Linked DNA regions of Drosophila melanogaster. The gene in region 1 interacts genetically with each later gene. Each region holds a gene or a part of one and is shown on either strand. Other genes may lie near its edges. The genes, in order: Zwilch and nudE.

What was found.
Region 2: of Zwilch (region 1) and nudE, changing one suppresses a phenotype caused by changing the other (phenotypic suppression), as found in Drosophila melanogaster (one study listed by BioGRID).

The regions. Positions count from the first base shown.
Region 1 is NT_033777.3:31,210,324-31,215,173, reverse strand, and holds Zwilch (zwilch), read left to right. Parts: upstream 1-1,797; 5' UTR 1,798-1,884; coding exon 1,885-2,991; intron 2,992-3,048; coding exon 3,049-3,544; intron 3,545-3,605; coding exon 3,606-3,860; intron 3,861-3,921; coding exon 3,922-3,989; 3' UTR 3,990-4,208; downstream 4,209-4,850. Other genes in the region: CG15561 (uncharacterized protein), read left to right, coding at 1-366; CG1542 (uncharacterized protein), read right to left, coding at 587-1,360, 1,419-1,502, 1,565-1,630. UniProt on the Drosophila melanogaster protein: Essential component of the mitotic checkpoint, which prevents cells from prematurely exiting mitosis. Required for the assembly of the dynein-dynactin, Mad2 complexes and spindly/CG15415 onto kinetochores.
Region 2 is NT_037436.4:9,897,149-9,902,500, forward strand, and holds nudE (nudE), read left to right. Parts: upstream 1-2,092; 5' UTR 2,093-2,207; exon of another isoform or gene 2,208-2,239; intron 2,240-2,577; 5' UTR 2,578-2,856; coding exon 2,857-2,936; intron 2,937-3,004; coding exon 3,005-3,158; intron 3,159-3,274; coding exon 3,275-3,548; intron 3,549-3,612; coding exon 3,613-3,870; coding exon of another isoform or gene 3,871-3,956; exon of another isoform or gene 3,957-4,049; intron 4,050-4,194; coding exon 4,195-4,286; intron 4,287-4,412; coding exon 4,413-4,688; 3' UTR 4,689-4,764; downstream 4,765-5,352. Other genes in the region: CG6707 (uncharacterized protein), read right to left, coding at 781-907; CG46387 (uncharacterized protein), read left to right, coding at 1,583-2,020. UniProt on the Drosophila melanogaster protein: Chaperone protein with functions in nuclear localization. Required for centrosome duplication and formation and function of the mitotic spindle.

The DNA.
Region 1 (4,850 bases):
TCCCAACTGGAAGAGCCCATAAAATCCAAGAAAAAGAAGAAAGACAAGGCTGAGAAGGCAGGAAAGGAATCCCCAGCACATCAAACTCCAGAAGATCCCGTCAAGATCAAGAGGAAAAAAAATAAGACACGGGAGCCGGGAGAGGAAGACGGTGTGGAAGTCGAAGAGCCAGTGAAGATAAAAAAGAAGAAGGACAAGAGAGCGGATAGGCAAGCAGGGCTTGGAGCAACTGAAGGACTGCCCCAGGATGTTGAAACTGATGAACAAGTAAAGTCAAAAAAGAAGCGAAAAACGGCGGACTCTTCGGAGGAATCGGAAACTAGCACAAAACTAAAAAAGAAACGAAAGAACAAGGAGAACGTGTAATAGTTATAGTCCACTTTAGAATAAACGATGTTAGAAAAATGTAATTTATGAAAATTGCTCATGGAATTCTAAAATTCTATACGGAGTATTCCACATTTCGAAAGTAAGGCTGTGTGCACACAAAATGTTATGTATTTATGGGTCTAAAAAATCTATACAGGATTGGGGGCTTTATAAAACTAGAGTTTGGTCACCTAAATATAGTCGGCAGTCCCGGGGATTACTTTCTGCCCTTGGCCTTAATGCGTCGCGATTTGCCAAGCCGCTTGTTGACCGAAGCACCTGCCTTTACGCCCCGCTGGCGCCTGGAGGACTTGTCGCCATCCAATCCCGCGGAGGAGGACTTTGTGTTCCTCTTGAGGCCCTTCTTCTTGCCGCCGAAGCCGAACTTCTTGTTGCGCTTCTTGCGATTCTCGGCTGACTGCTTCTGCTTGGACTCAAGCGCCTTGGCGTCCTCCAGGAAGTCCAGGTTTTTCAGCTTGCCCTTGCGGAACTTCTTCAGTTTGTCCAGCATGTCCTTCTTCTCGGCTTCGCGTTGGACCTTGGTCTGTTTGGCCAGCATCTTGCCCATCTTGCGCTGCTCGCGGATCTGCTTGATGCGCTCGGATTTCGCCTGTCCTTGCTGTTTGGCCATCAGGTTGGCGCGCACCTTCTGCATGTGCTCGTCGGACTTGGCCATTTCAGCGAAGTAGTCATCGGGTCGACGAGTCTTTATGCCCAGCTCGTGAAGGCGGGGAATGGCCTCCAGAACAGCACTTTGCGCCTGTCGGTGGAAGAGCATCTCCCTCTTGAAGTCATTCAGGACGGGATCCTCCTCGGGCCGAATGTAGGGCAGCTTGGCGTTGCCCTTGAAGAGATTGGCCCGCTTCTGCTCGTGCTTCTCCAGCTGTACAGCGAGTTCCGGCGCCAGTGGAGCTAGTGTGTTGATCATGTCCAGGCGTTCCAGCCAAGGCAGTTGCATCTTGATAGCCTCTGTCTTGGCCAGCAGTTTGGTCTATGTGGGCAGGATTGGATTAGTCGATTCAAAAGCGGGCATCCAGCTAGCTACTTACCACATCGTTCACTTTGTCTCTCTGGCCATTGAATTCCACATTTAGGCCTGGTTTCAAGTCGCCTCGCTCAAATGCCGCTTGCAGCTGCAGGAAAAGAGTGGAGATTTTGGTATACGGGGTGTTCATTTCTTCGGTTCCTCACTTACCTCGGCATCTGAGTTATCCCCTGAGTCGTAGCCCGAGGCACTGTCCTCCATTTCAAAGTCCGACATGTCTGAATTAACTAAATTAAATCTGATCCAAATAAAAGAAAACAATTTCAACACGTGCGGGGATAAGAATTATCGATTGTTGCTGGCCTAAGTCTATCGGCTATCGATGTTGCAGTGTGACCTTCACGCGGCTTACTGCTAAAATTATTGAGGTGCACTAAAAAGCGAAGTGCTGTGTGACCGTTTAACCAATTCTCGCTTCGCTTTTCAAATACTGCCGCTTTTTGTTTCTGTTTTGCGAATTTGCTCCAAAAATGTCGGCTTCTGCGAACTTGGCAAACGTTTACGCGGAGCTAATGCGGCGGTGTGGCGAGTCATACACGATCACCTATGGAGCGCCACCCACCTACTTGGTGAGCATGGTGGGGGCTGCGGAAGCTGGCAAGAAGATTGTGCTGGTCTTTAAGGAGGATCGCAATGGAGCAGTGGCGAGACTCCGGACCACGCCCACCAGGGCAGCCCCAAAAAAAGAGGGCTCTGCGGACTTGGATCTGACGGGAAGTCCTTTGAAGGACGACTGCCTGGTGGACGCCATAGCCGACTTGTCCATCGACCTGCAGCTGGATCACTCGAATCCCTGGAAGCTGGAGGAGGAATATCAACGCGGAATACCCGTGGACAAGGCTAGGTCCATCGTGTGCTCCGAGTTCCTGCAGCTGGCCGAGGGACTCGGATCCGTGTGGTTTTTGTGCGACGGCAGTGATCTCGGGCAGACTCAGTTGCTCCAGTACGAGTTCAACCCTACGCACTTCTCCAGGGGAATACTTAGCTACCAGGGTGTGCGCCCTGCTTACTTAGTAACCTCGCAAGCCCTGGTGCGCCATCATGGCAAGACACCGGATGAAACTCTCATTGAAAATAGCTACCAGGTCAATCCCCACATGAGACTACGCTGCTCCTGGACCTCTAGTGCTGCACTTCCGCTCCTGGTGAACCTGAACGACTGCGATGTGGCTTTGAATCACACTTTTCGCGTGGGCGACTGCGGTCCTTTGACGCAGGACTTTATGAATCAGCTGCGCATTCTGGTCTACATACGCGAGGACATCGTCTCCTACCACACGGATGTCAAGCAGGGCGTCTCTCGGGATCCCACCTATCGTTGTGGCAGTGGCATTGACATGGACGAGCTGCGCGAGTCCATTAATCAGACAATGACAGATGTCTCTGGCCTTATAGGTCGGTATAGCATCAGCAATGCGGAGTTTGACATCGAAGATGTGGTGCAGAGGGCCAAGGTTCGCCAGCTCACGGATCTAACCGATAAGCTTTGGGAGCTGCTCAAGTGCTGCCACTCCTACAAGGATCTCAAAATTGCCTTTAGTATGCTCTTCCAATGTGCTGCACGGTGTAACATAGTAGTAAGTATGCTAATGCATGCAAACCACCACATATTATTCATGTTCCTCACCCCATAGAACACGCCTACTAACAAAAATCGACTTGCCAAGATTATCACCGAGTTGGCCAACCGTCGTCTGGCCATGCCTTGTTTAAGTGGGGCCGAGCCTCTGGAACTGCTTTTGGAAATTGGCCTGGAGAAGTTGTACAAGGACTACGAGTTTATCTACACCGAGAGCAAGATGTGCAGCACCAATCTGTTGAAGGATGACTCCAGCGGAGCGTCGATGGACGATGGTTCTCCCCAGAATCTGCCCCAGCTTCGAAAATCCCTGCACAATGCGGTCAGGGGTGATCCGACCCCTGGAGCTGGAATGCGAAAGACGCTGCTGCATCATCACGGCGCTGTCAATTCGCGGAGTACAAAATATGCCGGTAGCGACGATGATGCTGGGTTCAAAAACAGCCATTTCGACGAGCACGAGAGTACGGAGAGAATCTCAAAGTTGTTTCAGATTCACTGCACCTTAGAGCATCTCCTGATGATGCACATCCACTTAAATCTGGCAAATGGTAAGAAGGACAAAAAGCAGATCCTGGGATTTTTAGCTATAACTCCGTTTTTGACCTACAGTTTACAACGATGTCTGTTCTGAATTGCTGAAGAAACCGCCTAAATTAGTAGAATCCATCGATGATCAGCTAAGTGATGTTATGGACATTCGCCTGTCTGCCCACTATGTGAGGGATCACTTGGATGGCAAGGATCCCTACTCCCGGCACATTACCATGCGTTCGCACAACAAGTTCCGCGAACTAAAGACCACCTTCTATTTCAATTCGGAAAACATTTGTCCGCCGAACTTGGCTCAGTGTTTCCAGTGTGATGGTAAGTTTGCTTTTTGACTTGTTTATTTTCTATAGCTATGGTAATATATTTGACTTCGCAGACAAGGAGATGGTCAAGGAGCGCACATATCATTCCTGGATATATCACAAGATTCGCTCACTTAAGTAAGGCTTGCTTAGTAATACAAAATTGTACATTCTTTAAATTTAAGCATGGCTAAGAATGGTTTAAAATGGCCTTTTTCACATTGTAATAATTTATTTAATGGATATCTAGCAAGAATGTCCCTTAGCTGCATAATGTTTTGAGACACATTTAAAATGTTGAATTTTTTCAAACACTGCTTGTTGTATTATTAAATTAAATGCCTTTTGGTTATAACTTTTCAAACTTTTTTTCTATCGAACCTTTTTGTTCGGAATTTTAATTGTTTGAGCTTGTTGAACACGCTCTTCGACGCGTTTTCGCAAACCTCCAAAAAAGTCAGCAGTGCACACCGAAATCATGTTAAACGAACTCGTACAAGTTTTAAGCCGACCCAGAGGCTATTGCAGCTGCATTGGGAATCTTGAAAACCTGGCCGAAATCCGCTTCCGCCCTGCTCGCACTTTTATCACAGTGTTTTTGCCGGCCATATTCTATACAAAGGTCAGCATGACCAGCATTTGGCCATTCCTCCAGTGAAGTAATGCTGCAAATGAGGCGAAAAGAGTGTGTGCCCAATGGTGACGGCGCCATCGAGCATTCCCGATATGTTACAATCCAATTAGCCGGATGCGCCAGTTGGCCAACTAGAGTACTTGGCCCGTCGCTGATTGATTTGCAGTTTGTCAGACGTGCGTGGAACGCGCAGCGGTTCGGTCGTGTTTTTTCCAGCCCTGTTTTTCCCCTGAAAAGCGAACGGAATTTCAAGCAAGGATTTCCACGCGAGTGTCCTGGCCAGGGAATATAGCCACTGGGAGCTGGAAATCAAATCAAATTTTTTGGACAGTTGACTAAAGAGTGAAGAGTGAACAGTGCCCGTGAAAT
Region 2 (5,352 bases), on another chromosome or scaffold:
CGTAAAGCCCTTGTAACTAAACTCTTGTATATATTAATGATATGGACAAGCTTTTTCCGAGCTGAAGATCAGGTTCCTTGGTAAACAATGGAACCACTGCTCATCGCAGACCCTCATTTTCGCCCTGTATTGCGATAAGGCAGCGAATGACATGATGACTCATGGACTCATTGACTGCCCCCGCTTAACCACCACTATAGCAACACCTCCGAATCGATGCTGATTAAACAGCTGTGGGGAACGCTTTTTGCGCTGATTACGAGCGTCCTAGCATAAACAATAACAAAGGCGGTGCAAAAATTTTGCCGATACCGGCGTCGAGTAACTAACTACAATCGATCTTTACATTTTTGGCAGCTCTTCACAATTTCGTGATAAAATTACATTTTTTTTATGGTGTACGTGGCCCATTTGATATTTAGGCCAATAAGAAAATTTTATATTAGGTTGTAAATTTTTGGTAATACCAATAATACTGGGCCCTATTAAAAAATAAAAAAATGGCAGATAATTTAAAATGGCATTTGGGCACCACATATCCTATCAGTTTTTCTTTCTGTGCAGTCCCATTGCTCTCCCCCCGCACCAAACCACACGCATTTATGACTCAGTTGGGTGAAGTGTGAAAATGCCAAATGAGACGGCGAGCAGACAACTCGGAATCACGGCGTTGGATCCGGATAAGTGGAGCGCCCGCACACTTGTTGGGCTTCCAATGGGTTGCCCGCCCGGCTGATTGGATGCGGGTTGAATGCCCGGCTTTACAGTAACGATACGCACCGTCCTCGTTTGTGGCCACCGATGAGTTGCTGCCGGGATTATCGGCACCCTCGTCCACGGCGTCCACGGAATTGTAGCCATTGCCGTCGTCCTTGTTGATCAGGCTTTGTCGCTCTGGATCCGCCATTGTGGACTATCTTCCGATAAATGGATATTTATATGTGTGGACTATAATCTCTATATGCTGGAGCAATTCCCGTTAGGCTGCACTTCCAGTTGCCTTTGTTTTGTTGTTGCTGTTGCTGCGGGGGCTGCTGCAACGCGTTGATTTCAACTGGAAAATGAGTGGGAAATCCAATAGTTTAGTTGCTGTGCCACATAATTTCGGACGCAACGAGCTCTTTGTTCACGATTGCCGCAGTAGTTTGGTTTTTTTTTTCTTCGTTCGTCGCGGTTTTCACTCGCGTTGATTGAAACACATCCTCCCTTTTTTCACTTTTCGGCATGCGCCGCAATTAATCAATTCGATGATGCTGCATGTGCAACGCCCACGCGAGCTCGATTGTCGCACTCACACAGTTGACATTTGGTTATAATACTGGCAATTGCGTTAATTGTTTAACAATTGCTGGCCATAATTGTGCTATATTTTACCTTATTTTTGTTGAAAATGCACTGCAGTCGCTGCGATCTGGCCACACTCTGGCTAGCTATCTGGCAACGATGTCCCGTTTGAGATTTTTCAGTTGCGGCCCTGCCAGGGAGTTGCCACATCGTTGTACTTGGTAAAGAACCAGAAACAGATCAGCGAAAAATTGTTCATTTTTGGAACCAAAACAATCCAGCGCGGCTTAAAACAAATATGTCTAAAATCACGAAAAACTCCAATAAAATTGACAATAAGGATTCTGTAAGCGGGGAAGGCTCAAATAGTGGGGACGATAACACGTCCACAAGTTCAAGTGACTTTGAAACAAGCAGAAAACACAAACTACGCCGCAAATCCTGTCGAAATGTATCATATCATTATCATGCGCTGCCCATGCGCGTAGTTGGCGAAAATGTTGCAGCACTGCCACAAACTCCCAGCTCCACTCGTGATTTAACACTAAGCTCAGCTCAAATAATTGAAGATAGTTCCGACTCTGAGTTTCATATTTCGGACGATACCAGCAACGATGCGCCGGCCAACAAATCGATAACGTTCACAGCACGTCCATTAGAGAAATATGATTTGGAATATATAAGAAAACTACGTAAACGCAAAAAAAAGCCGAGTAAAACTTTATATGTTGATTAAATTTCAAATAACAACTGTTGACCAGGGCTGGAAACGGCAAATGCCCATCTATTGGCCAACACTGGCAACCCAAGCCAGGGTTGGCTTGTGCGTTTTTGGAGTAGTGGTAAATTTTTACGAGCATAACTATTTACACTGATTTTATGTAAATAAAACAAACAAAACGTAGCAAAATTAAGTGCAAAGTGTAAGTAGTAAATGTGGACAGTCGTGCTGTATAAAATTCTAGGTATAAACACTGGAATTCTACGAAAAAATCACCGATGATTTCATTTCCATGCAGTGCGTTGTTGTATGGGAAACTTCGTCGTAGCTATTTGTTGTTGTTGTTGTTGCTGCTGCTCATCACCATCATCCTCGTTGTTTTCGTTGTTGTTGCCGCAGCAGCTGCGTCACAAAAATGAGTTTTGTTTAATTTGATTTTATTTACATTTGATATGGACAAAACCGACTGCCCTTTTAGGGCATCGAACAAGAACAACAGCAACAGTAACTACAAAATTCAGGGCAAACACCTGTTCCTAATTGATTTTTCACTTTTCTTCGCCGACTTCTAGTCTATTCACCACCCCCAACACACAAAACAAAAAAAAAGTAAAACTACGACTTGAACAACAACTGTGTTTTGGCATTTTAATCACAGCAATTAAAAACAAAGCAGCCAAAAAACACGAATAAATAACCCAAACAGTAATAGACCAACCGTAGTACATAGCATTGTTCAGAAATTAAAAGTTAAATCAATTCGAACGAACGAAATTACAAACCCATTTTGACCGCCGATTAGTACACAAAAACCAGAAAAAGGAGTTAGCAGCTAAGGAAAATTTGCAGAAATGGAGTCGCCCCCGATGTTCAATAGTGTGGAAGATGAGTGCAGATATTGGAAGGAACGATCTAAGCAGTACCACAAAGAGTAAGTGCCCATCCCTATTACAGTCTCCGAAATCAGCCATATAGCCTAGTTTTACTTTTAATTTTCAGGTGGACAGACGTGAAACAGGAGTACGACGAGTTTGTGGAGCAGTCCCGCGAAATGGAAATAGAAATGGACGCCACTCTGGACCAGAAGCAGAGTATAATCAAAGATCTCACAGCCAAACTCACAATGTTTGAGCGGGAAAACGAGTCTCTCAAGGTAGCTATAAGCTAAGCCCGATTTACACAAACTGAGCTTAATTCTTAGACTCAGTTTGCGTATATGTGGCTTTGAGCTCCCGACAAGATTAGTCTTTACAACTATTTCATTCTCAGCTCAAGTTGGAATCGCATGGCATCGATATGTCAAACATGGAGAAACAGCTGGAAACGGTGAAGAAGGATCGCGACACCATGAAGGTGTACCTGCGGCAGCTGGAGCAGAAAAACGACGATTTGGAACGTGCCCATCGCATACTTAACGAAAGCATAGAGAATTTCGAGAAGATGCTGGATCAGGCCTACGAGAAGAACGCCCTTCTGGAGCTGGAAGTGGATGAAAAGGGATTGCTGCAGGAAAAACTACAGCGATTAATGGATGAGACGAGAGGTGGATGCATCTATACCAGATGTCCAGCACAGACTTTAAAACTAATTCATCAAATCTATTGCAGATCTCAAACAAGAGCTGAACGTCAAGTCACGCTTTACCCCAGTGGTCAATGGAACGAGCGTTCCCACGGCAAACGACACAAATACGGTCAACAGCTCGATGAACTCGTCCGCCTCGCTGCCAAATGGTATTGTTGCCAATGGCGAATTGGTAAAACACGACAATGCTGTCGCCACAAGAGCCACCAGCGTCAGCGTCAACGCCCTCAATGGCAGTTTAGTTAATAGAAACGAATATAACCAGCAGCATTCGCTTAAGAGTAAGATACTAAGTTCCCTAAAGAAAACCAGACGCGCGCTAAAACTGTCCAAGACGAATCGCCAAACGTTCAAGCCATGCATTTAGTATTGTTTTTCCATTTGTTTCTTTTTTACTTGTTAACCAAAAAATGTAGCCCGCTTAAGTTCCTCATAATTTGTAATTGTATTGTAAATTATTAAAATTAAGAGCCCAAATGTGACGAAAGAGTTTGCAACATTTCTTGTAGGCGATTTTTGTACGATTTGTGTTTGCGTCTGTAGCTAGTAGTTGACCTAACTAACCTCTCGACTAACATGCTGTGTACGTGTGCTTCCTCTTGCAGATCCCGAGAATCAAATCAATGGCAATTCCATGAACCCCAGCTCCCGCACAACGGCGCTCAACATTGTGGCCGACATGTTAAGAAAACTAAACGTAAGTCCCTCCGCAAACTATAAGTCCAGCATGCCATCCTACCTCATCCATTGTTTCGTATGTACATATGATCCTTGAACCCTTCACTCCCACCATCGGCTTATGTGTTTTTCCCTATGTTTTTAGTGGGACAAGGCACTGCTATGTCCCGAGTGCGAAAAGTTTCGCTGCATGTGTGAGCGCCCGGCAAGTGTGCAGCCGCCGCCGCCGCCATCGGCCAGCGAGGCAAGTCTTTTTCGCCGCGCCTTTGGCGGCAGCAGCAGCTCAGTGGCCACCAGTAGCGCCCAGTCCACGCCCACCAGCGATTGCAGCTCCGCCGGAAGCCTCAGTGCGGGCTCAAACATTTTTAGGCGCTTCGCCGAGCGCATGCGAAACTCGCCGGACGCCAGCCTGCCGCTCTGACAATGCGCTCGGAACTTTAAGGCTAATTTTAGTTGCCCTCCGCTTGCATTTATTAATTGCATTGGTTAATAAATACAAAATTTATTTGTACCTTATTTTATGTTCTTTGTTTTTGTTCGTTATGATTTATTCAGTTTCGAAAGCGCATAATAACTTGGCTTGCTGACTAAACTCTGCACTGGGCAAACCGTTGCGAAATGAAATTTTCATTAATTTATTTATTATATGATGTGCCCAAATCCTTCTATAGTTAATTTTTCATATAGTTCACTGACTGTTGCTTAATCCGCTCTCGTTTTGTGTTTTTTTTTTAGGCGATGGAGACGAAACTGAAGACGTACCGCGAGAATGGTCAGCCAATGCCGCAGCGACACCGCTCCTCCCAGCAATCCACACATCCGGCGCTGGCCGGACTGCCTTGCTTCTCGCTGGATGCCGAGTAGTGTGGATTCTGCAGTTCAGCGTGATCCACAAACCCCAAATCCGAAACCCAATCACCTAGGGCGGGATACTGTTCAGTTGGCTTTACGTTTACGTTACGTTACTTTAATGTTACTGTTCGCATTAATTAAGTTTCTGCTGCCTCTTTATTTATTTGAACTAAAATGACTTTGTATAAACCACTTGCGATATTATGAATTACACAACAGTTGATGTTGTTGTT